Linked DNA regions of Caenorhabditis elegans. The protein of the gene in region 1 interacts with the protein of each later gene in a pairwise test. Each region holds a gene or a part of one and is shown on either strand. Other genes may lie near its edges.

Region 1 (7,680 bases):
AAAATTGTATCACTGGCGTAGCACAAAAACGGAGCAGTCTTAAAAATCATTATATATCATTCAATTTAAGACAAGATCGAAGATGTTGCACATCGGCTACCAAAGTTTTCAGCAGTGTAGTAAGAACCGCGCTGTTATATTTGGTAATTTTGGCACCATAGGAGTGGTTTTATTCAAACAATATCCCCTCATTGCCGTTACTCTATTTTAAAAGTTAAAACTGTGGTTCTCGTTAGTTTTAAACTATTATACATAAATGTATTTAGACTAACCCCCTTTGACGATGCACCATCTTCAATTATACACAATAATGCATAGTTCTTCTCATGACAGAAACTGATTTTCCACAAAAAGCAGCATATTCAAAATTTTGTTAGAATAGAGAATTCAGTTAGCCGGTAGCTTCAATACATCATTTTCCGGCAGTGGTTCACTTTTTTTTTGTGAAACGCAAATTGAGTTTTCGGCCGGGAACATTAGGACAGCGTACTTTTTTCTTACGTCCTTTGTCAAAAGACCAGTGATATTATGCCTTTTGAATATGAATATAAATAAGGTTTTTACTTCATTTTTTTCACAAGAAACATTCAGAGATCTAAAATTTCAAAAATTTTAAAACAGAAAATGCTGAATGAAAAAAGAGAGAATCAATTTACGTGAACACAGATATACGAAGCTCGAACGCTTGTTTGATGTGGTATTGAAAAAAAAATGGGGATGAGAATGAGAGGAAGAAAACAAGAAAAACTTCACATGCACAACATAAAGAAGATATGCGAAATGCAGGATAATGCACAAGCGATATTCATAAAGTGACACATGTTCTAGATTGTTCACGCTCGTTGAACCTCGAAAAGTTTCACATCGGTGTCGTACCAAATTGGGGGTTGTGTGTGTCTGAAAAAGTGGACATGTGATGTTGCGAAATATCTTCTTAAAAGAAGAGTATTGGTTTTTGGGTACTTAGAAGGTATTGACTAGGCCTTCCATGGGAGCCAGGCGCGGTTTCAGGTCCTGACGACTGCCTCCTGATGCACCATGGCGTGAAATCAAAAGCCTGGTTTTCACACCATATTGTGCGAAGAGTGGTTCTTTCGACGCGGCCGACATTTTTTGGGTTCCGGGCCACACTATGCAGGATGCGCGGCTCGCAAGGCAGGCGTGCGCGGCAAGCGTTTTGGCGCCTACATGGAAGCCCTAGTATAGATTAGAAGTGTGTTCAAATGTACGAATTTTGTAATGAAACTTCTCAACAAGTTTTCGGAAATTTTTTTATGACGATTCAAAATGTTGTGTTGAATATGGTTTACCTTTAAATGTGCCTTAATCAAAGAAATAACTTGAGATAAACTTTCAAAATATGCCGGAAAATATGAAAAATTAGAAAAAGTCAACTTCGGACGGCTGCACCACTGTGAAATGGGCAAAATTTACGATTTCAGCTAGAATTAGTAAATTTTGAACTGCCAAAACAAATTTTTAATAATTTTTTGTGAAGTCTCATTACGAAACTCGTTCATTTCGGCACATTTTCAGTCCAGACGTTTTGCTCCTATTATAGACCATCCAGCCCAAAATCTTACTTGAGATAAATGACTCCCCACATGTAGATGCGGAACCAGTGATTTGTGCCAATATTCGTTTGATATCTTCTGATTACAATTGGGTGTGGTACTGGAAGAAGTCCCACAAGAGTTCCATGTTGAAGGAATTTCAGAATCTCGCTCTCATCGGTGAGGCCTCTGTAAATATTGAATTTCATTTTAGGAAAATAAATTTAATAATTATATATATGAAGTATCTAGCGTATATCCTCAGATAGTATTCTCAACTTTGACTAACCGTTGTCGTTTTATTTATCATTTTTACATTGTTTTTTACATTTACATTGAAATGCTATGTAGTTAAATTGTTTCAAAATTAATAACTCACTTATCGATGCAAATTTTTTCAACTTGCGGCACCAACACTTGGAGCAATCTCATGATAGTCTGCAGAGGAAGTTTCGACTTCCATGCATCGGCCCATTCTTGTGTTGCTATCCACTCGTCTACAAAATTTTTTTTTATTGGAATTTAAAATTTTTCAAGCAGTATTGTGAGTTGGGATTCAGTTTAAATACATTCGGCCAACATAAGAAAACATTTTCAGATTTTCAAAACTTATGAGTTAAAGTTTTGGTAAGTCGCCAAATTTTTGCGAAATGTGGTTCAGATTCAACTCTAGAAGTTGCCTAAAAAATTAGTATCAAAGTTTTTTTGGGTAAAATTTTACCATTTTTATAACACTACAATGATATTTGGACATTTTAGCATCACTTAAATGATTTCAAATATATTTTCTAAACATTTGCCACTTACTATCTTGCGAAGACTCCGGCCGTTCTTCCCAGTTTCCAACATTTCCTGTCATGGAAGCAAGAGCTGGCGTTGCTGCAAGTCCCGTCGTTGTGCTCACTGAAAATTAGTTGACATTTATAATTCAAACATGAAATAATATGCTCTACCTCCTCCTAATGTCTGTGCTGCGGGAGCATCAGCTGCTGGGATTTCCGGTGGAGCGGTAGAGGTTGGGGACTTCAGCTGATCTACCATCTCGTCACGATTAGCAGCTGCAACACATTTTTTAAAGGGTTAATCCGAATAATGAAATATTTTACTTACATTTACTTTTTCGTCCTGATAAGGTTTTCGCGATGGAAGCAGCATCCGTTGATAAATTGGAAAGTTGGTAGAATACATTCCTTTTTCTGATGATTGTATATATTAAGTTGGAATTTCCTGAAAAAACCAAGACTGATTTTAAATTTAAAATTTAAATTGCAATGACAAACCATCAAATTGGTATTGGATAACATTGTTAAACACCTCAAGAAGTGAGAAAACTAGTTGAGGATTTGTGGGCGATGAGAACAGGAACCAAGGAGTTGAGAATGCCTCGACGAGATGAACGAGTTTGTTTGCCGCCACCATTGATAGCGATTTCATGTATGGAGACACTGAAAATCTCAAGTGTTTAATTCATCAAGTGTTTTTGCGTGATTTTATTGTATTGACTAATGCGCTGCTTACCATTCACCATTATTGTCAGGAAACAATCGAACAGGGTCTGCAGGCGGTAATTTCCAGTTGTGATTAGTTTATGGATAACCTGAAAAAAACCAATTTAGAGAAGGGATATTCAAGGTTTCATAATGAGACTCCTCAAAAAAATTTCAGAAATTTTTTTATAACGGGTCAAAATTTTGAAAAAAAGAGCTAAGTTTTACTTAAATCTGAAATTTCACCAACGTGTTTTTTTTGCCGCAGTAGCTGCTAGAATACAGTTTTATTAGATATTCGTGACCCTTTATTGCATATTTAGGTAGTATATCTCGTGTATATTCGTTGGACCAGACAAATTTTAAGCCCATAAGCACGCAAAAATGCTTAAAATTGGATGCCTGCCCCACTGCTTAAAATATGTCATAATCAGAAAATTTTTGCGAGATAAACTACCAGAATATGCATTAAAAACGATAAATCAAATAAAAACTGTATTTACGCTGTTGTGACAAGAAAAAGTTGGTAGAGTTTCAGATTTCAGCAAAATTTTGCTCTTTTTTGAACCCTATTTTTGACCAGTCATAAAAAATTTTCGGATATTTCTTGAGAAGTCTTATTATAAAATTCGGTTATTTTGGGCATGTTTTAGTATGTTTAAGCAAAATATAATATGATACTCATGTAGTTAAAGTTGGATGATATTATATTTTTTGGAATATCTTTTAGTTCTTTAAATGCATAGTTCAAATTTCATCTACATCAAGCACTCACTAAAATTAATAAATCTGCGTGTGTTCCAGTAAACGTTTGCACATTGATATTTGCTTTGGCTGTGTATGGCTTATTCAGACGAACTCCAAAATTTCGCTCTCCACTGAGCAGCAAAATAATGAAAACACCCATATGGATGAGACCAACTCTTCCTGAAAATATTGCTACATTTTGTTATTTCAGTTTTTCAAAAGTTCTACCAGAATCATTTCGGGCATCTGAAATGTGGTACAAAATTGGTACGAGAATGTCCAGAACGTCAGAAGTTTTCAGAACGTAGAACATGAACTTTTGATTGATTTCACAGCATTTCCACAGAAGCACCAATAGCTCTTGATGAAAGTTGACTCTTTTCGTTGAGTTTGGAAGGTAAGATGACGACGAGTGGATGGGGTTACTGAGAAGTCGTGTGATTCCTTTCAGCATGAAATCGAAATCCTCCTCCCTGTGAATTCTACTTAGGTAATTGATGAAGTAGTTGTCTTTATATCCGGAATCATCCGTGTTCGGTTGAGTCTCTTTGTCCAAACATACAATGAGCACCTGAACAACAAAAAAAAACGGTGACTATTGGTAAACAAAATTTTTCAAAAGAAACCTGGAGAGCAATTTCGACTAGTGGTTCTCTAGAATCGTTGAATAGCAAATAATTGTAGGGCAATCCGTAGCCAACGGGGTCGTAGGCGCAAACGATGTTCAGCAACGAAGTGAAAATGGGAAGAACGTGCGGGTTTGTGACAGACGTGAAGTGGATAACCCACCGAAGTCGGGTCTCGTCTGGAATAATTTTTTTTTAATTTTTAGTAGTAGATTTTCAGATAGCTTTTTAAACCTTTAAAACGTTTGTTTTGTTGTGGAGAAATAAAAGTGGTATAACTTGTGTGTTATAACAAGGGGCGCGAGGCAATTGTAAAATACATGTTTTTATGTATTTTAATACAGTTTTGACGTTATTTTTAATTTTCCGACACTACTTGAGTAATCCAAGAACCCTTAAAACTTTTATTAGTTTCCATTTTTAAAATTTTGAAATTTCAGGAACAACTCGAAACAACGATGCTTACCTGAAACCGGCGCATAAATCAATTCTGCAAAGCATGTAAGCAGAAGCTTCAATATTTCCGTCCGATTCTGATAGTGCAGAGCCACCATTGGAGGCTTATTTCCAGATCCTACTCCAGCTTCCCAGATGTACTCGCACGAATCGATTGTGGAAAGATCGTCGATTTTTTGCTGAAACCATAATTGTTTTAATTTTACTTTGAACTAGTATTTCTCACTCCATTTGCATGTGTAATTGTGAATTCTGGGCAGAAAAGAAGATCTGAGAGTGTCTCAAGAAGTACCGCAGCCAGCGGCTTTGCAGCGTCGCCATGGGGAATCGGAGACCAGAAGTAGCCACGCCACTCGGCATCTTCGAGCAAGTATGGTACGATCCTAGTGAGCAGTCGAATTGCGTTGATAGTCTGGAAAAAAAGAATAATTTAAAAATTGAATTAAACCAATCAAAAAACCTTCTTCTGATCAATGGTAGCCGGATGATTTCTAGAAAACTGCAGTTTTTCGACGGTTTTGTAAACGAGTGTGGCTAGATTTTTCGGCGATTCATCTCTCAACTTTCGAATGTCTTCTCCGGAAATCATGGCGAAAATCTCGTTCACTGAATCTGGCCACCAAGCTTGATCCCAAAATGTCTCATCGTCCTGGAATTTTAGATAGTTGGCAATATTTGGGTACTTGTGTGGCATACCTGGCCCAAAAATATTTTCTAGAAAAATACTAATACTAGTCTAATATTGCCAAACAAAGTCGCTTAAAAATTTCAAAATTGGTAATATTTAAAGGCGAGGAATATATACAAGTTCCAGTATTTGCAATAGTTTCACTTTTTGAAAACTTTTGATTCAAAACTAACTTTTCCCGGCTTGGACGTCACATCTAGTACAACTTGCTTAAAATCCACTCTGCTACCCTGAGCACCCATTTTTTTTCAATTTTTTTTCCTTTTGTTTTTGGTTTATTTTTTTCCTGTAAGAAGTATTCATTAAAGTTGACGGTTAGTCCAGAAGCAAAAAAAAGAGCAACACAGCCGGATGACGTGGGTGAAAAATGAATTGCAAGAGCAAGAAGAAGGCTCCATTTGGAAGCGCGGGCGGAGAGGACGAGGCAGATAGAGCGTAATAGGGACAGACGTGCACGCAACGAGCGGGAAGAGAAACGCCACCAAATCAATAAGGTCCCCTCGGGCCACATGATGAATATTCTAATGTGGAACAACAAGTCAGAGCAGGAAGAAAGAAGAAAAGGATATGTTAATTACATTTACAATATTTACAAAAAAAAAGATTTGTTTTTCAAAGATTTGATATAGGAATTTTTACACGAATGCTATGTATCAAAAAATCCATAACAAAATCAATAAAAAGAGCACACAAGAACGGTTCACTGCATACCTTTATTACCTGCCAAGCAGTTAGTCCTCATTTAAAAACTTCGGCCACAAGAACTCGGCCATCAAGTTGTTTGCCTTTTTTAACTTGCAAGTTAGCCGGAAACGTAGATTTATTTGTAAGTTTGGTGAAATAAAATGAATTAAAATAGTTTATTCTAAGGAAAAATAAATTTGAAACTAAACTATAGAACACTAAGCAGCAAATAAATTTTTATCTCAGTAAGTATAAGATTTTAATCGTAACCAGATTTAGTTCCATAATGCTTTTGCCAAATGTAACGAGAATTTCAAGATGAAAATCTAAGAAAATTCAAAACAAAAATAATAAACTGAGGTATTTATTTAAATAAAAACACGTGATGTTGAGTATTATTCGATTTATTAAAAAGACCAGTCAGGTGATAGTTACTGCGGTAGGAAACGCATTCGAGCAATTTCTGACTTTTGCTCCTCGGTGTAAACATCCACATCTGAAATTTCCAAGTCTATATTCATCTGAAAAATTTTCAAAACCTGGTCTGTAGAAGCGCTCGTCATACGGCCACCCATTTCTAATTTGATACGAGAGCAGTTTTTGTGCCAATGCATGACGATTCTGAAAAGATTTGAAAAAAAAAGGTAAACAATATATAAAAGTTAAAAGAAATACGTACCGGATCGTTTTGCTGATTTTTCTCGAGGTTTAAAGTTGATGGCTTGAATTCCGTGCTTCCAGTAAAACTTTGAACTCCATTCAGTCGGTTTCGACGAGCAACGGCCTACAGAGAAAAAAAAATTGAAAACTCAAAACTCGAAAAATGCGAGGAGTAGCGGTTCAAACAGTTTTGAACGTATGTATATATATAGATTTACCGTGTTTCCCTTATTAGTTAAGCACCTCTAATAGTTTTGCACCCCTTCATTTGTTCCCTATTTTTAGGAATTCAAAATTTGCATTATAAAATCGTTCTAAAAATTAGGAAAACTTTTACAGACTTGGTATAACAAGTCAAAATAGGCAAAACATGAGTACAACTCGGACAATTTTTAAGTATGAATTGTAAAATTCGTCCATTTCGGCTCATAAGTTGTTATTGAAATTGATGATATTTGCCATAACTTAATGGGAAACATGAGGAAAAAACCCGTTCGAAAATTAGGAAATACGGTATATATACAGTGCGTGCAACTTCTATAGAACCCCCACTAAATTTTCGAGTTTTAGCATGTTCTGATATTTTTCATGAAATTTTGTTTATGCCAATCGATTCTAAATGCCAAAAAACCTACTGTTCAAAATTTTTAGAAAAATCCATTCAAAACTACGGGAATTAGGTCAAAAAGTTGTAAAAACGACCGTGCAACTTCTATAGAACCCCCTCGGAATTTTGATATTTCTCGCAAAAACCACTGAATTTGTTTAAATTTTTCAAA
Region 2 (3,742 bases), on another chromosome or scaffold:
TTAGTTACAAAATTATGTTCAATCTCGAAAAAAATGAGATTTTTTTTGAAAATTTATTTCAGACTACTTGGTTCTAAATTTCACAAAAGTTTTCCACGGAAAATTCGGAGTTTTCTTATACTACAGCAATTTAGAAGACCCTTCTTTGGCAAGCGAAAAAAATTTTTGCAAAAATTGTAATGCTAACTAAATTCTAATTTTCAGATTCAACCGGAGCTCATCAGTCTTAACCCAGACGACATTAACAAGGTCAATGAGGGACTTCTCGAGTTGGAAGAGGAAGAACGAAAGAAGATTCTCTACATTCGTCCGATGGCTGTTCAATATACGCCACGTCACAAGATGCGCAGCAAGAAGAGTGGTTGGAAGATGGAGGCTCGTAAGAATATTGTCAAGGATCAGATTCGAATGGAACGGAATATGGAGAAACATGCGGTGGAGAAGGAAGTTTTTGAAGCACCGGAAGTGGATGACGAGGCTCCGAAAAAGAAACACATTCTGGATCGTCTCAAATAGAAGGATAATCAATTTTATTTTTTGTTGTTGTTGATTTTGCGTTATTTTCGTTTTGTTTTTACTGAATTTTTGAAATTATTTCTTTAAAAGATTTGACATTTGGAAATTTATGAAACGAAGGAAAAAACAAACAGTAAAATAAAAAAGTAGAAACTAGTATGTATTTTATTCGTAATCTTCCTCTTCTCCCTCCTCATCATACTCTTCCTCATCCTCAAAGTCTTCTTCAACCTCGTAGTTCTCCTCCTCTTCATAATCTTCTTCCCCTTCCTCTTCTTTCATAAGATCGTCATTCTTCTTCTGAAGATCCGCAATGATCTTCTTCTGGGCTTCCAACTGCCCCGTCGTCTCGATCATCATCGCCTGGATCTTCAACGTGAGCGCCTCTTCGAATCGATGCTTGTCCTCCAGCTCTTCAAGCCGTTTCATATAGACTTCAGTGAGCTTGTTCGCATCGTCGACCTGTTTCGTGAGGCTCTCGATGGCCATCGTCTTTTTCTTGGATTCTCTAGCAGCACTGTCCAATGCATTAATCGTCAATCTCAAAACACCCTCTGGTGGAATACCAGTTTTCGCTGCTGGCATCAAATTTTTGATTCTGAAAAGTGTTACTTTTTGCATTTGTGCTTGTTATTATGGGGACGCAAAAAATGGTTTTTTGAAATCATCAAGGCACAAGCGCGCTCCAATGATGGGTCTCATTAGGTATTGGCAGGAAACTCGTAAATTCAAACGTTTTTGTTGTTATTATCGATTTTAATGTCGAAATGGTCTTTAAAGATGCATTTGAATAAGGGTTTCTCGTGTATTTTACATGATTTGTTTCGACATAGAAATAGTGGAAAAACTCTTGAAAAAATTTGAATTTCTGATTTTGCCTTCGCCAATACCTAACGAGACCCAACTTTAGAGGCGTTGCGTTTTAACTTGGGTAGGCTCCGAAACTCACCGTTTTTCATTCTCAGGATCTGTGCTCTCACCAAGGTTAGCCACAAGTAATTCGATTCTCAAGAATGTCTGATATGACCTGAAAAAATAATTCGATAAATTTTAGGAACTCAAATTCTTAAAAACTCACTCATCAATTTTCGCATCCCTTTTCTGCTGTGCTTCCCTCAAAAGTTTCTCCAATCGACCAATTTCCTCATTTGCTACTTGTTTTCCTTCTTTCGTCTCCTTTTCAAGATCCGAAATTCTTTCCGTGGCAACTCTCAATTTCTCACTCAAACATTCCACATATTCGACATTCGAATCAGTCTTCTTCGCATCGAAAAGCTCTTTTCGTTGCTCCAAAAACTTTTCAGTGAGCACTTTGAATTGCAAGTTCTTCGCGGCAAGCTCGGTTTGCACATTGCGGAGTTCGATCGAAGCCATTATTTGAATATTACAGACAGAAAAAGGGTGACAACCAGTCGATAGGGACCTGTGCGAGTGAAATGAGACAAGAAGAGGAGCACTGCTAATAGATGGTATCTACCGTAGCAGTTGACCTTTCCAAGAGGTAGACACGTCATCATTGTCTGACATACTATGTTTGCTCTCTCTCTCTCTCTCTATATGGTCTCGAAGGGAAGGAGATTAGGTCATAGGAGACGTTTATTGGAATGAAACACTTCATTAAAAAGGGTAATTAGTGAACTAGATGAGCTAAATGCATATTCAAATTTGTAAAAGGCCACCTAAAATGTTATGCATTGTCAAGAGAAATGGCAGTACTACCTAAACTGTGGCTGTGAAAATTATCTGGATTAATTTTTTGAAACCTAAAGAACGGTCATTGATAGTCAGAACTTTAGTTAATATATTTTTCTTGCATTTTTACATTTTTTGGGTAAAAAAAGGTGTCATGTTCAAAGTTTCCATTAGTTTTCAATATCTGAAGCTCTTTTTACCAAACGTTGAATCAAAAATAGGTGACAGACATTATTCCAATTTCAATTACCAACTTGTATTCTAGGCATTTTCTTTCTGCTACAAACTTTCTGCAACACTTTTTTTTGTGAATATTAACCAAAAAGTTGGCATGACAGACGCCGAATTAAATAGTTGATTGGTCAGATAACTGTATCTTTTTTCTCATGTTATCAGTGAAGCAAGAATCAAAAACTTTCAATAAACCGAAAATAGTTCATTCGAAAAAAAAATTATCTAGAAATTTCAGTTAAGTTTTTGGTAAAAAATTCAAAAATTCAACAAAATTGAACGGTATACGACGAAGGTTTCAAGCACACGAACATTGTTGAGTTGTCAAATGGATAAGTGTATGCACCTGGACATGCATTCTTGAACATCTTCGTTGTAGAGCTCATTGTGCATTTATCTGGAGAATCATACTCCCCACGGCAGCATTCCTTATCAGTTCCATATCCAAGACATCCAGATTTACACCCAACAGTGTAACCTGAACTACTCTTCACTGCAAGTTCTGTAGGGCATGCAGCATTTACATCAGAGATGCATCCACCGGCTCTTTGACATCCCAACCCATCAATTAACATTGGGAGATTGTAACCATCGATTAGATTAACTGCATAAAAGTCTCTTCCAGCCCAAGATTTCAAATTGAATTCTGCGACAGATGCGGGTGGAGTTCCTGTCCTTCCATTGCATTGTTCTGCGTTCTGGAAAAAGTGTAAAACTCTCAAACCTTTTTCATTTTTTTTCAAGACTTCGGGTATTCCCAATTTCGGATGTTTTGAAACTTATTCAGTATATGCGTGTGAATTCTGCGAAACGTTTGAAACTTCCTGTCAACATTTACTGTTGAGAAGCTTGCCCAAAGTTTGGCAGAAAGTAGCAAAAATTTGGCAAAAAGATTATATAGTTTCGACGACCGTAAAACGTGCCCAGAGTTTGACAGAAAAAAGACCAAAAATTTGCCCGAAAATGAAAATGTATTTTGGTAATAGATTTTGGAATATTCATCAAAAAAAAAATGATGTACGTCCTTGACAATTCACGACTTTCAGATATTCTAGAACATCTAAAGTACTTTTTCGTATTTCCCTTTTACACAATTTTTTGGCTGAACTTAAAAAATTGTTCAAAATGTTTTGATCAAATATCCCCAAGTGTTTATTTGTTTCAAAACTTCCATAGAAACTTATACTTTCAAAATGATACACTGTTAAAGTATAGATCTATAGACTTCAAAAAAGTTACATTCAAACTACGGAAAACTCACCAAACAAGTTCCAGTCTCACAATTGAAATCTCCATCACATCC
Region 3 (4,624 bases), on another chromosome or scaffold:
TATTTCTTCAGTACATTTTAAAATATTCCATAACGTTTTTTTGGATGGAAGATGTAATAATTTTTCATACCTTGTGTCAACACTTCTGCCTAACTGTAAGTGGCCACGCGATGGGCAGGCAGGCATAAAGAAATGCTTGCCTACCATAGATGCCTTCTATTACTGATTTTCTTCCACTATTTCCTAACTATTGTGCAGTTTGATAAGATTTTATGATTCAATAACTCTCCAAAAACTGCAAAGCGGATAACTAGGATTACCTGTAGGCTTTTCTTTAGATTGATATTTGTTGAAAAATAAAACTAAAGTTGAAAATGAAATTCAATTCCATTATACTTTAGAAACATAATATTTCAATTTAGAAGTTGGTAGTTTTCAACATTCAATTAAACTTTTTGATTGTGATAGCAAAACAATTTCAAAGACTGGAAAAAAATTCAAAATGGAAATGCCAAAATTAGGAATATGGTTAGATAAATTACGGATTTTCAAAAAATTATTTTAGCGCAGTTCACAAATTGAGCATTTGAAATACTCTTGGTGATTTGACGGTCTCTCCGCAGTTTAAAACACAGGGATATTTTTATTGAATATTAAAATCGAGTCTTACCATAAGTTTAAAAACCGTGTGTGACGTCACACTTATCAAGAAAATATGCTTGTAGAACATAGAATATGATAGTCTAAGAGTTTTTGAAATTTCTTGATAGATGTTAATATATGACAAATACTGTTATTCACAGCAAAAATAATAAAAACAATAAATTATCCTATAGGTAATAAAAATTGGAATACCACTCTTCAAAATTACTATTTCATTTTTTCTTATACCCAAAAGATAATCTTTGTTTTCAATACTAAAATGAAACGATAATACCGGTGAGTTATATCTATATCTACCTAGAATGTTAAAAACACGGTTGAAAAAAACCCGACGGCTCGAGGAGCTGCTGGCTTATCAGTAAGCTACTTGGCTGTACGCGAGAGGATGACGACGGATTCTAGATGAAAGAAGAAGAGGTGATCGGCGTGTGTCCAAGAGCCGATTTTGCGACGGATTTTGGGGAAATGGGAATGAAAGGGAAAAAGAAAAATGAAGAATTATTTGAATATCTTGATTTGATTTATTTTGGTTTTGCGTGGTAGAAACCCTTGATTTTTGATAATAGAGGAAGTTTTCAAAGAATAAATAATTTGAAAGTTCAATAAGACTTTTAAATGCTTAAAAGTAGAGGAGCACTAAAGAGAAAAGTGTTTATTTAAACTGAAAGAAAAATATCATAACATTTTTTGAAAATTTTTTCATTTTAGTCAATCAATGGCGATTGCAAAGTTTTTGCTACTGATAAACCTAGAAGTCATTCAAAAATGCAACAATACTCTGAATTTCTCAAAAATCTGAAACTAGATAATTTGGACATTTACCAAGGCCTTGGCATAAAATTTACAAAAATCTTACAACTTTTGGAGTGTTTAATTATGATGTTTGGTTATCTCAAAGGACTTCGTGGTATTATTTACAGGTTGTGTAAAAATTGGGAAAATAATTGAATAAGAGCAAAATGGATTTGAAAAGTAATATGCAACGGTTCAGAAACCATACATATTTAGGAGGATCTTGAATTCTGTCTCGGCCCCCTCCCACCAAAATACGCATAAAAAAGATATGAATCTACCCCAGAAGACGCCAAAAAGAAGTGGGCTATCTCAACTTGTTCGGCCACAACTTCACTGTTCATTTCGAAACCTAAACTGTTTTATTTAAATATACGAATGTTCATGAAACCATTCTAGCAGGAGGAGATGGCTGAGACAAGGGCGGTACACAGAAATAATAGTAATGATCGCCAATTTTCGGAAGAGGAAAATACAAAATGAGTCAGCATACATTGTCACAGGACGGCTCTCAAACAGTAGTGATGGGTGATTGAGGAAACGAGAAAAAGAGAGAGAGGAATAAGAGAAAATTGGTGGAAAATTGACTCATATTATACAATGGACGACTCGAACGAAATTTGAGTAAATAAACATGCTCAACCTATTGGAAATTGATATGATCGTAAATTATTGGCAGTTAGAAAAAAAATTCGTTGAAATCGCAAAATTTGATTGAAAAGTTATACGAACACCTGAAGATGAACCTACTATATATGCTAAATGTTATCTATACTCTCCCCATATCCTAAAATCATTTAGCAAAAATTTGGTCTAACAAAACTCAAAAGTGACTCAAATTTTCCCAACACCGAAGTGCTCTTCCTCTTTATTTTTTGCCCATTTCCCCAACTTGCTCTTTCCCCCTCTTTCTCCGTGGTAACCAAAACCAGATGGTTTCATTTGTTCCCAAAAACCATCCGGCCCCTCCGTGTCTTTTCATCAATAGACCTCCTAAAAACTCTTTGGGTGTAAAGTGTTCGTGGATTCTCATCAACTGGTGGGACCTACAAAGATTTCGAGAGCCACTTATTGCTAAATTGAATGATAGAAGAACAATGTGCGAGTTATGGAAAATGAATTGGAAGGGTTTGGGTTGGAAGATTTTCAGTTTTGACAGTCAATAAATGTTTAAATCTAAATTGTATATTGAAACATTTTTAACTGGTAAAGTGTAATAAAAACAAAATATCATATTTTGTAAAAAGAAAACCTAAAGCTATCCGAAATTTTTGAATAATCTCAGTGGGTCAGTGGGTAAATAAGTATACCAAAATTTCTTTCATAAAACCTTTGAAAGTTGATAAATTCGAAAACTCTTACTTTTCTCTAAAAATAAATAACAATAAACTGTCAGGTACTGAGTGAAATGTGGAGCGCGAATCGCCCATAAAACACTCACAAATACCATTCCTTCTTTTTTCCTTCTTCTCTCAATATTTACTAAACATCATCATAACTATATAGATATTTTCTGACTTGGTTTTATAGTATACACACTATTCTAGTTTTTAGGTTTAACTTACGTTTTTCGGGTTTTCCTGGGATTTGTGCAATGATCTCAGCAATTGTGGCAATAGTACCTGAAAATTGGTCTTGATTCTAATTTAAAAAAATTTAAATTAGTAAAGAAATAAAACAAATGAAATCTCATGTCCCATGGGGAAAATTTGGGCGGCTATCGGGATCTACAAAACCTAAAAGAAACCACAAAAAAATATGAATTTATTTGGAAATGAGGGCTTCGTCTTTCGGTGGTGAAGGAAATGCCGCAAATTTATGGGTTACTCTTTTTTGTGTTTCTCTGGATTTTTGAGAAAAAATGCTTCACACAGGGATATTGGGATGAGCAAAAAAGGGCGTTGCGACAAAAAACCCGAAGAAGGAAAAGACAAATGGTCGAAGGACATGGATATGAGAATAGGTGAATGGATATGTTTTTGAGAAGGAATTGAGGTATTTTGGAGATGCTGGTAATAGAACGTTTGGGTTAAAAAACTGAATTTCTTTCAATTTAATAAGATTTGATAATACTGAATGATATGGACTATTTGAAGCATGTAGCTGAAATGAGCATCTAGAAGTCTACGATTTCAGATTCACTGAAGTCATGTAGGGTCCGGTTAATCTTTTGTAGAACCCAATTCAGATTTTAAAATGCTGGTTACTACGACTTCCCGTAAAATTAATAATTAAGAATTTCCAACGAATCGAATTGGCAGAAAATCGACCAGACAAGTTGTGGATACCTTTTCTGTGGCCCTGATAGGTACCTGGTTTTACAGAAAAAAGTTTTACTTAAACAAAAATGAAACTTGGATTCCACCAGTACCCACCCAAGTAGTATTTATACGCGACCTACAAGAAGAAGCTACTACGGTAAGCCAATCGGGAATAAGTGAGACAAGAGATGTAATCACAGAGAGAGTTTTGTTTAGGCCTCACAATGATGTCGAAACTAAGAAGGAAGAGTTGTCATAGTGTATAACGAACCTAGGCCATCAATCATACTCACACACCATAAACGCTGGACTCTCCCCATCTTCAGGCTCGTGTATCCGAGTCGCATCCCCCTAAGGAGCATCAGGTGCTCTTACCCATCAAAACGACATAATCCATCAAAAATTGGCGCGCGCTCATGTTGAAGCCCGAGTCGAGCTGAGCTCTTTAAGAGGAGCCGCTGGCTCGTTTGTTGCAAAACAAACGAAGGGACAATACGGGTTTTGGGTATGGGATAACACAACACTTGGGACACATTCTCAAAATATTCGTCGAGTTTTAAGGTTTCTCTATTGTTAGGTCCTTACAAAAATAAATTGAAAAAATCTAAAAATCAGGAGCAAAGTGCCCAGAGGGCATCGTCCATCTCATTTTGAGTTACGAGTACTACTCTCAAAATTTCCGGATCCAAGAAATAAGGGCAAACCTTTCTCCAGTCCCATGGGTCATATAATTTTTGCCAAACATTTAGCAATGATAGACGGGATGCTTCTGGTGGTGGTTTTTTGAAGGGTTGCATGAAGTTTTGACCTGGTAGAGGTTAAGGTGGCATCAGGGAAATATATATATTGTGGTAAAGCCCCAGCAGGCATAACTTTTAATCAGTTTTTATCTTTTTTACGACCACCCAAGTGAGAAACAAATATGAACTGTGTGGTTCATTTAGTTATCTAGATCATACTAAACTGTA

What was found. The genes of interacting proteins can lie anywhere in the genome.
Region 2: the proteins of hid-1 (region 1) and atz-1 interact in a two-hybrid assay, tested with the Caenorhabditis elegans proteins (one large-scale study listed by BioGRID).
Region 3: the proteins of hid-1 (region 1) and mig-39 interact in a two-hybrid assay, tested with the Caenorhabditis elegans proteins (one large-scale study listed by BioGRID).

The regions. Positions count from the first base shown.
Region 1 is NC_003284.9:2,487,209-2,494,888, reverse strand, and holds hid-1 (Protein HID1), read right to left. Parts: upstream 5,842-7,680; 5' UTR 5,800-5,841; coding exon 5,731-5,799; intron 5,519-5,730; coding exon 5,330-5,518; intron 5,282-5,329; coding exon 5,096-5,281; intron 5,049-5,095; coding exon 4,880-5,048; intron 4,593-4,879; coding exon 4,414-4,592; intron 4,359-4,413; coding exon 4,016-4,358; intron 3,968-4,015; coding exon 3,816-3,967; intron 3,151-3,815; coding exon 3,072-3,150; intron 2,999-3,071; coding exon 2,834-2,998; intron 2,781-2,833; coding exon 2,664-2,780; intron 2,612-2,663; coding exon 2,507-2,611; intron 2,457-2,506; coding exon 2,361-2,456; intron 2,051-2,360; coding exon 1,933-2,050; intron 1,743-1,932; coding exon 1,584-1,742; coding exon of another isoform or gene 1,580-1,583; intron 898-1,579; coding exon 834-897; 3' UTR 550-833; downstream 1-549. Other genes in the region: K02E10.4 (uncharacterized protein), read right to left, coding at 6,673-6,737, 6,781-6,862, 6,921-7,025.
Region 2 is NC_003282.8:12,374,164-12,377,905, forward strand, and holds atz-1 (Protein atz-1), read right to left. Parts: upstream 1,959-3,742; 5' UTR 1,891-1,958; coding exon 1,595-1,890; intron 1,544-1,594; coding exon 1,466-1,543; intron 1,115-1,465; coding exon 682-1,114; 3' UTR 518-681; downstream 1-517. Other genes in the region: wdr-46 (WD repeat-containing protein 46), read left to right, coding at 205-516. UniProt on the Caenorhabditis elegans protein: Plays a role in meiosis, germline development and oocyte morphogenesis. May play a role in DNA replication.
Region 3 is NC_003281.10:8,465,428-8,470,051, reverse strand, and holds the start of mig-39 (Zinc finger BED domain-containing protein 39), read right to left. Parts: upstream 3,018-4,624; 5' UTR 2,961-3,017; intron 2,344-2,960; exon of another isoform or gene 2,054-2,343; intron 1-2,053. UniProt on the Caenorhabditis elegans protein: Regulates the timing and orientation of distal tip cell migration during gonadal development. May act in parallel to cacn-1 and Rac GTPases to control the anterior and posterior migration of distal tip cells.